Linked DNA regions of Xenopus tropicalis. The protein of the gene in region 2 purifies or fractionates together with the protein of the main gene of each other region. This does not show direct contact. Links are inferred from orthologs where the notes say so. Each region holds a gene or a part of one and is shown on either strand. Other genes may lie near its edges.

What was found.
Region 1: the proteins of sugt1 (region 2) and rnf41 purify together in Homo sapiens (affinity purification with mass spectrometry; 3 studies listed by BioGRID and IntAct, with this or other methods). This does not show direct contact. The link is inferred for Xenopus tropicalis from reciprocal best matches to the Homo sapiens genes SUGT1 and RNF41.

What each region holds. Positions count from the first base shown.
Region 1 is NC_030678.2:137,453,948-137,457,773, reverse strand, and holds part of rnf41 (E3 ubiquitin-protein ligase NRDP1), read right to left. Parts: coding exon 3,782-3,826; intron 1,480-3,781; coding exon 1,344-1,479; intron 694-1,343; coding exon 590-693; intron 1-589. UniProt on the Homo sapiens protein: Acts as E3 ubiquitin-protein ligase and regulates the degradation of target proteins. Polyubiquitinates MYD88. Negatively regulates MYD88-dependent production of pro-inflammatory cytokines.
Region 2 is NC_030678.2:132,190,745-132,194,970, forward strand, and holds the end of sugt1 (protein SGT1 homolog), read right to left. Parts: intron 1,016-4,226; coding exon 914-1,015; 3' UTR 565-913; downstream 1-564. UniProt on the Homo sapiens protein: May play a role in ubiquitination and subsequent proteasomal degradation of target proteins.

The DNA.
Region 1 (3,826 bases), about 5.3 Mb from region 2:
AAATAGATGAAAAGACAAAACATTTAAAAAAATCTGCCTCTATTTAGTGCCACCATGTACTAATTAAACCCATCCATTTTGGCTTATCCACATGAGTTGCAGGGGGTTTTCAGGGAAGCCATACCAGTGCTCCTTAGGGTGAAGACACTTAGAGCAGCTACTTGTCACTACTAGTAGCAGCTACTTGTCGTGGCTACTAAAATGATAATTTACTAATAACTGTCTCTACGTGTGTCTTAGCAGAGGCAATTCTCAGTATTGTCAAGGTACTTTCTGGAGTTTAGTAGCTATGACAAGTAGCTGCTACTAGTAGCTCAGTGTGTCTTCACCCTTAAACACCATGTAACCTGAAACTAAAGCCACTATGAAACAAGACCATTTAAGTAAGGCGGATAAACCAGATATAGAAGATTATGGGCCTTTTGTCTCTGACCACACAGTCACAACCAGGGTCTTTTTTTAACTAAACCTAGACAGCTTTGTGGCATTCAATTTGCCAATATTTCAAACATTATGGCATATGAAGGGTTACTATGTTAGTTAGGTAATATGAAAGCCTAAACTGTGCATTTAATACTATAAAACTTACTCAAGGATTTCATTGTACTCTATAGTCTCTTCTAGGTTCTGTAGGTTTGGATTGGCGCTTCGGATGGCTCTCATATAGGCTTTCAGCAACTGGATATCCCTTTTCTGTGGATGTTAAAGAGGCACACATGGACACATTTGGTCAAAATAAAAAATAATTTATTTTATTTAACTTTAGGTATAACAAGGTTTTTATGCCTTTTTTAATATGGTTAAAAACAAAATCTGACAAAATACAGAAATGGTATGAATTAAAGTAAATCAAAATAAACAATACAAATGCTCAGCATGCTTTAATAGATAAGGACACTAAATATTTTCCATTACAATGTTGCTTAGTAATAAGGAAAGAAGTTGTCCTTGGCCAGAAGAGTGGCCTGTTTCTATAGCTGTGGAACTGTTCAAAATTGGGGGCAGATGAATGCAGAGAGAAAAACTTGGCTTGATCAATGGTCTTGAACTAAAACTGCTTTCTTCCACAGCTCTGTGTATCTGCAATGACAAGTACAGCTTCTGCCTGAGTGCAGGTACACAGAATGGAGATCAGCCCAAAAATGCCTGCATTCCCATTTTTCAGTCCAAACTCCGTTCTGCTCGGTGTACCTGTACTCAGACAGAAGCTGTGCCTGTCAGTGCAGATACATGGAGATGTGGAAGGGAATGGATCCTCTTTTCTCAGCCTGAGAGCAGCGTAGCCAATGCTCTGTGTGTCCTAGCCCTTAAAATTGTATACAAAATGAATGCAAAGACATTACCTGTTCAGAGAGCTGGTGCTTGCTCTCAGCAGCTGCTTTTTCCAGCTCCCCTATCCGTATCTGCTGTTGCTGCACCACAGAGCGCAGGTGTTTTATGCAGTTGTGGTTTGGTAGTTCATCTTTGGGCATTTCCAGTCTGGAAGATAGAATGATATACACAAACATTATTTAAACTGTCTGTAAATATCTGGCTGCCACCTGCTAAAAGTTCAAGCCCATAAGCAGCCTTTGCTATTTACTGCATCATTGGATGTTGCTACAAGCATCACTGAAGCACTGTGGCAGCATTCTGTTGTCCCCCAGCCAAGACTCCAATTTCCACAATGCCATTCTCTCTGATTAAAGGCCTGTAAAGAAGTAAAATGGCAGGGAAATGGAAGTCAACACTGCTGGACCTGAATACCTGTATCATTGAAACAGAAACCCAATATATCTTACCACTGTCACTCCCTTTGTAATTGAGTTTGAAATTAAAACCTAAAAGGTAGAAACTTTCTAATGTAAAGTTTGTATCTATATTGGGGTTTTAACCAAAACTTGCCTCAAAGACAGGAATTCAAAAATAAGCACCTGCTTTGTGGTCACTGGGAGAAGAGAATTGCACCACATACAAAGTTGCCACCTGCTCGTTAAATAAATAATAGAAATTAGAGATAAATAATTAAAATAAGCTGAAGTCACCTACTAAAAAAAAAAACAATGAGAGGATGTGTAGATTAGATGTAAAAGGTGGCTGCTCTGTTTTGTAATGGAAGTTCACCAGCCTGAACCCAGGGAGATTTCTCCAAAAAATCATTTTTGTACTCTAAATAAAGAAATTTTGCATGTGGAAAGATGAAAATTATCTTTGCTCTGAGTAAAGGTTTACACCAATGTAAAGGTAATTTACCAGTACTTCTTCTATTCACCTTTTAGTATACTGCTGATGTTATAGTAAATATTCATTTTTGGAGATAATACGCCAAATTTTAATAAAATATATATATATTTATTTATCTATTTATTTATTCCCTTTGTGTGTATTGGAACAGAACAAAAAAGGGAGGGAAAAAAAAGCAAATTGGACATAATGTCACACAAAACTCCAAAAATGGGCTGGACAAAATTATTGGCACCCTTTCAAAATTGTGGATAAATAAGATTGTTTCAAACATGTGATGCTCCTTTAAACTCACCTGGGAATAGTAACAGGTGTGGGCAATATAAAAATCACACCTGAAAACAGATAAAAAGAAGAGAAGTTGACTTAATCTTTGCATTGTGTGTCTGTGTGTGCCACACTAAGCATGGACAACAGAAAGAGGAGAAGAAAACTGTCTTGAGAACCAAAATTGTGGGAAAATATCAACAATCTCAAGGTTACAAAGTCCATCTCCAGAGATCTAGATTTGCCTTTGTCCACAGTGTGCAACATTATCAAGAAGTTTGCAACCCATGGCACTGTAGCTAATCTTCCTGGACGAGGACAGAAGAGAAAAATTGATGAAAGTTTGCAACGCAGGATAGTCGGGATGGTGGATAAGCAGCCCCAAACAAGTTCCGAAGAAATTCAAGCTGTCCTGCAGGCTCAGGGGGCATCAGTGTCAGCGCAAGCTATCAGTCGACATTTAAATGAAATGAAACGCTATGAGACATAAAAAAAGCAAGACTACAGTTTGCCAAAAAGTATTTCAATAAGCCACAATCCTTCTGGGAAAACGTCTTGTGGACAGATAAGACCAAGATAGAGCTTTTTGGTAAAGCACATCACCATCAATATGGTGGAGGTTCAATGATGTTTTGGGGTTGTTTTGCTGCCTCTGGCACTGGGTGCCTTGAATGTGTGCAAGGCATCATGAAATCTGAGGATTTCCAAAGGATTTTGGGTCGCACTGTAGAGCCCAGTGTCAGAAAGCTGGGTTTGCATATGTCAAAAAGCACCCAGAAATGGATGGCAACAAAGCACTGGAGAGTTCTGAAGTGGCCAGCAATGAGTCCAGATCTAAATCCCATTGAACATTTATGGAGAGATCTTAAAATTGCTGTTGGGAAAAGGCGCCCTTCCAATAAGAGAGAACTGGAGCAGTTTGCAAAGGAAGAGTGGTCCAAAATTCCCATTGAGAGGTGCAAGAAGCTTATTGATGGTTATAGGAAGCTACTGATTTCAGTTATTTTTTCCAAAGGGTGTGCAACCAAATATTAAGTTAAGGGTGCCAATAATTTTGTCCAGCCCATTTTTGGAGTTTTTTGTGACATTATGTCTAATTTGCTTTTTTACCTCCCTTTTTTGTTCTGTTCCAATACACACAAAGGCAATAAACATGTGTATAGCAAAACATGTGTTACTGCAATACTTTTCAGTGAGAAATACTTGATTTTCTGGAAAAACTTCTGGGGTGCCAACAATTTTGGCCATATATATTATATATATGCATATGCAATAGAATATAACTACTTACCCACAACCCTGCTCACATGTCACCGGTCGCTTTGGATTATGTTCA
Region 2 (4,226 bases):
ATTTAACTGGCAGGTAGGGCCTTACATAGAAGTGGGGTTTACTAATAATGTGCTATTGGGCCTTATCTTGTGCTTGCCCTACTATTACTGTCTAACTAGCCCCTGCTTATTTTAGTTTATGAAATATCATGGTGAGCATTTAAATAGTAGCTAATTATATAAGTATGGGAACCAATTAGTCCTTGACATGTTACTGAACTATTGGCCCTAATCTAAACAGAGTATTCAAAAACATCTAAATGGCGTCAGCTTGCCCAGAGCATGATCTTGCACAATGACCAGAATACTGCCATAGATTGTAATACTTTGTTGGTGGCAGCATTTGGTTGGTCTTTTCATCAACATTAGCGTATTCTCTGACAAACAAAGGATGTATAGGGACTGTGCCTCTCCTATGGTGAATAATTGCAGTCACGTCAGCCAGCCATCGTGCCTCCAGCAGGACAAGCAAATGAAACACAACAGCCATTCACATTACTAACACATACGCCTCTAACCCCACATGTGTGCGACAGAGTGCAGGCAGCATCTTCAGCACCTTTGTATCAATAAAGCACCAACAAATCATTGAAAAAGTATATTTATAATTTGCAGTTGATAAAAAGGCCAAGAGTGGGTCAGTGAGAAAGATTTCCAACAAGCTGACAGGAGAGCTGCACCTCCGGCCAATAAGTTATCTGAGTGAATGTGCATCAGAAATCACTATATACATACTACAGGGCTGGCTCCTAACAAAACAGGAATAAAGGATTAGGCTCGCTTGTCATTTCATTCACTTTGTGCAACATTTAATGGAAGCAGCAAACAATTAGCATTCTGGGAAAAGAAAGGGCGCAAAAGGTAAGGAGTGATGTCTCATCAGCTTGTTGTGCATCAGACTGCTTCAATAAACGTACGGACTGCAGCAGGATAACTAGTATTGTTTCCATTCCATATCATCTGGGGGATTTACGTCTACTTTCTTCTTGCCCACATCTGTCCAGTTGGTGCTCAGCACGGTTCCTCCTGACTCCATCTGTAAAAGAAAAGGTGACTGTCAATGCCAAATCTAACTTGTCCTTTCACACTATGAGGTGTGAGGTATAAACTCATAAAAGCCTTAATGCCCCCCCTCCTGCTGAAGCGCTAAGCCATTCCTCTGGTCTCGTCAGAGGCATGTAACACTGCAGGAGGGCAATGGGTGTAATAAGGAAGGACCCTAAGACATAACGGCAGTTGAACATTGCAAAAAATCAATGTTTAAACAACAAAACAGAGAAAAGCATAAAATAGAGATTTTACATGTTGTAAGGAAAAGGAAGATAAAACATGGAGCTATAGGGACTGTTTAACTAGTCAGATAAATGGAAATATCTGAGACCATCTGGCAAGATGCAGCCTCTCTCTTTTGAGAGATTATTAGCTTTATTACTGATCTCACTGACTACTATGGGGTTAGTGTGTCTGAATACGGACTCAGGACATGAGTAGAGTTTAAGAATTCCCTAAGCGAGTGTGAGTTTAATGTACGACATTTTGAAGGCGCCCCCCTAGCTGCTCCCAGTGCCAGAACTACATCTAACTGGAAACAACTCCTCTACCTGATAGAAAGTTGTTTTCCATTGAATAAATATACAGTCTTGAGGAGCATGATGGGAAAAATGAAGCCCTCTTTAATGGTTATTAGTCACATTGGATTTTCATTAAACAGAGCTAGCAGGATTTCATTGCACAGAAAGATTATGTTAATTTTCTTTTCTGCATCAGTCATTTTTCAATTCAGAAGCTGCTAAAATTGCAGTCCTGGGAAAACCTGTATTTCAAGTACGAAATTCATTTCCTTCAGTTTTTATGAGCCACACACATCATTTTGCCTTCCTTCCTCTTATGAAACCGATAGGTACCATAGGATTTGTCAGTACAGAATGAAATCAAGATGATAAAACACAGAAGGGAGAACATAAATAAATGTAACACATAAATTGTATTTTATCTCAACCTTTATAAAATCAAAATTGGTTCTAATTATGTTCAATGCTATTCTATTATAGGAGAAACAGCAAAAGATTGGGAACATAGAGGGAATTATATATATATATATATTTATATATATATACACACACACACACACACACAACCATTACACACGGGACAAAATGAATAGCAAGAGTGAAGTATTATTTGCAAATACATTTATGTTCTCTGATGGGAGAAAAGAATATGACAACAAAGCTTTTGTACAGCCCAAGTGACAATCTGTGCCTCATTAGATGCCTCCAGTAGCCCCGAATCTTGTGCCATATTCATTTTTAGGGTTTATTTTTCCTTTAAATGATTTCAAGCTGCCATAAGGGCCATGGCACACCCCTTCGGCTGAACTCTACTGGCCAGGGCAAAATTACATGGAAGTGTCATTCCTTAGGAGCTAATATCTAACAGAAGCAGCTGCTAGTATGTAACAGGTTTATTCAATCTACTCATAAAGGCAGGGCTAAACAGGTATATAAGATCTTGATGAGCAGGTTGAGTGTGAGGGAACAGTTCCCAAATGCTGCAAATATTGTGAGTGGCACAATATAAATAACATGTGAGCAGCTTACAGGGTCCCACAGTAATGGGGGTAATGGCCAGTAGGCAATGACAGGGAGCAGCTTAATCTTTGGGCTCTTGAATACCCACTGCCAGGGTTGATAGTGGGCTCCTGGGGGTGGGGGATTGTACAGGACAATGGGAAGGCATTACTATGACTGCTAGTAACTAAGGAGGTAGCAAAGGATTTATGCTTAATTTGATCCAAAGAGTACAGGGCTCGTTTACAACTGTGAGTGCAGTTTTCAAAGTGCAATTGCCATGGTTTTTCTCCCCACAGCACAGGTTTTTTGCCCCAGAATTCCAATGCCAATGTAGTCCCCAAGGGTGCAATTGCGCCAGATTCACCAAAATGAACGCAACTATGTGTGCATTTTGTCACAGAGTAGATGCAATCACAAGGAAGTCTGCCTGCTGCCATTCCTGTGTTCCACATGTGAGTGACACTTGCGCTCGATTTTTTGTGTGTAAATTAAATGTGCCTATTGACGCTGGGCACAAAGGGAACCCTGGAGCTACATTACAGTCAGGAGTTGATGGTAGGTTCGAGGTCCTGCCTGCATCATTAGGCGCAGTTCAGTAGCTCTCCAGTTTGGCGTTTCAGCAGCTATTTTGGTTGCTAGGGTCCAAGTTACCTTAGCAACCAGGGGGTGGTTTGGATGAATAAAAGAGGGACTGAATAGAAAAGAAAGTTACAAGTAACAATAACCATAAAACTGGAGCCTCACAGAGCAATAGTTTTTTCAGTGACCCCCATTTAAAAACTGCAAAGAGTTGAAAGATGGTGACAAATAATTCAAAAACTATAACAAATAATGAAGACCAATTGAAAGGTCACTTAGAATTGGCCATTCTATACCAAAATAAAAGTTAAAATAAAGGTGAACCACTACTTTAACTACAGCCCAAATGTACACACTGAAAATAATGGAGTTTTAATTTCACTAATTACACTCAATTGTTCTTACTTCCCTTGAGTATAATATACAGTTTGTATTGTATACATAAAGATACATAAAGACTCTGCAATTCTGGGGGAAGAGCAAGAATTTCCAGGGGTAAAAAAAATCTTATACCACATCTTTCTCTTTGCCAATTGGTCAGTTGTTGTAAAGAAGCAGCCTGTGTGGGATGCCCCAATAGTAGGTGCAAATTCTTACATACCCAGGTTCCTCATGGTGTCACTGCATTTAAATAGATAATCCACAGTTATGAACATGAGCCCAATAATAATCTTTAAAATGTCTAAAATAGAGCAGCGGTGACAAACATAAATATATATATATCTCTTCTTCTCTTCCCACATGAGCCTTCATGTAATCCAGATACATGCATTTACTGTACATTTGTTGGTTCTCCCTCTGAAAGGAGCAATACACCATATCTGAGAAAGGATATCATTTTCCTATTAATGTGTACTGAAAACCCCCAAAGTCATTTATTCTGCACAGGGAGCCTTATTTCTATGCATAAGTGTTATACCAGGGATACCACACGTGCCTGCTTTACCAAGCAAAGTGCCTCTCGGCCAAGAGAATGCCATTATTTAACTCAGGAAGAAAAGCTATGCAAAACATGTTTCCTTTTCTCAATCAATAATTAGTTAGTCACATGTCTCTTTAAATCAGTTTCTCCTTCCTACACTGGAGTAATGTGAA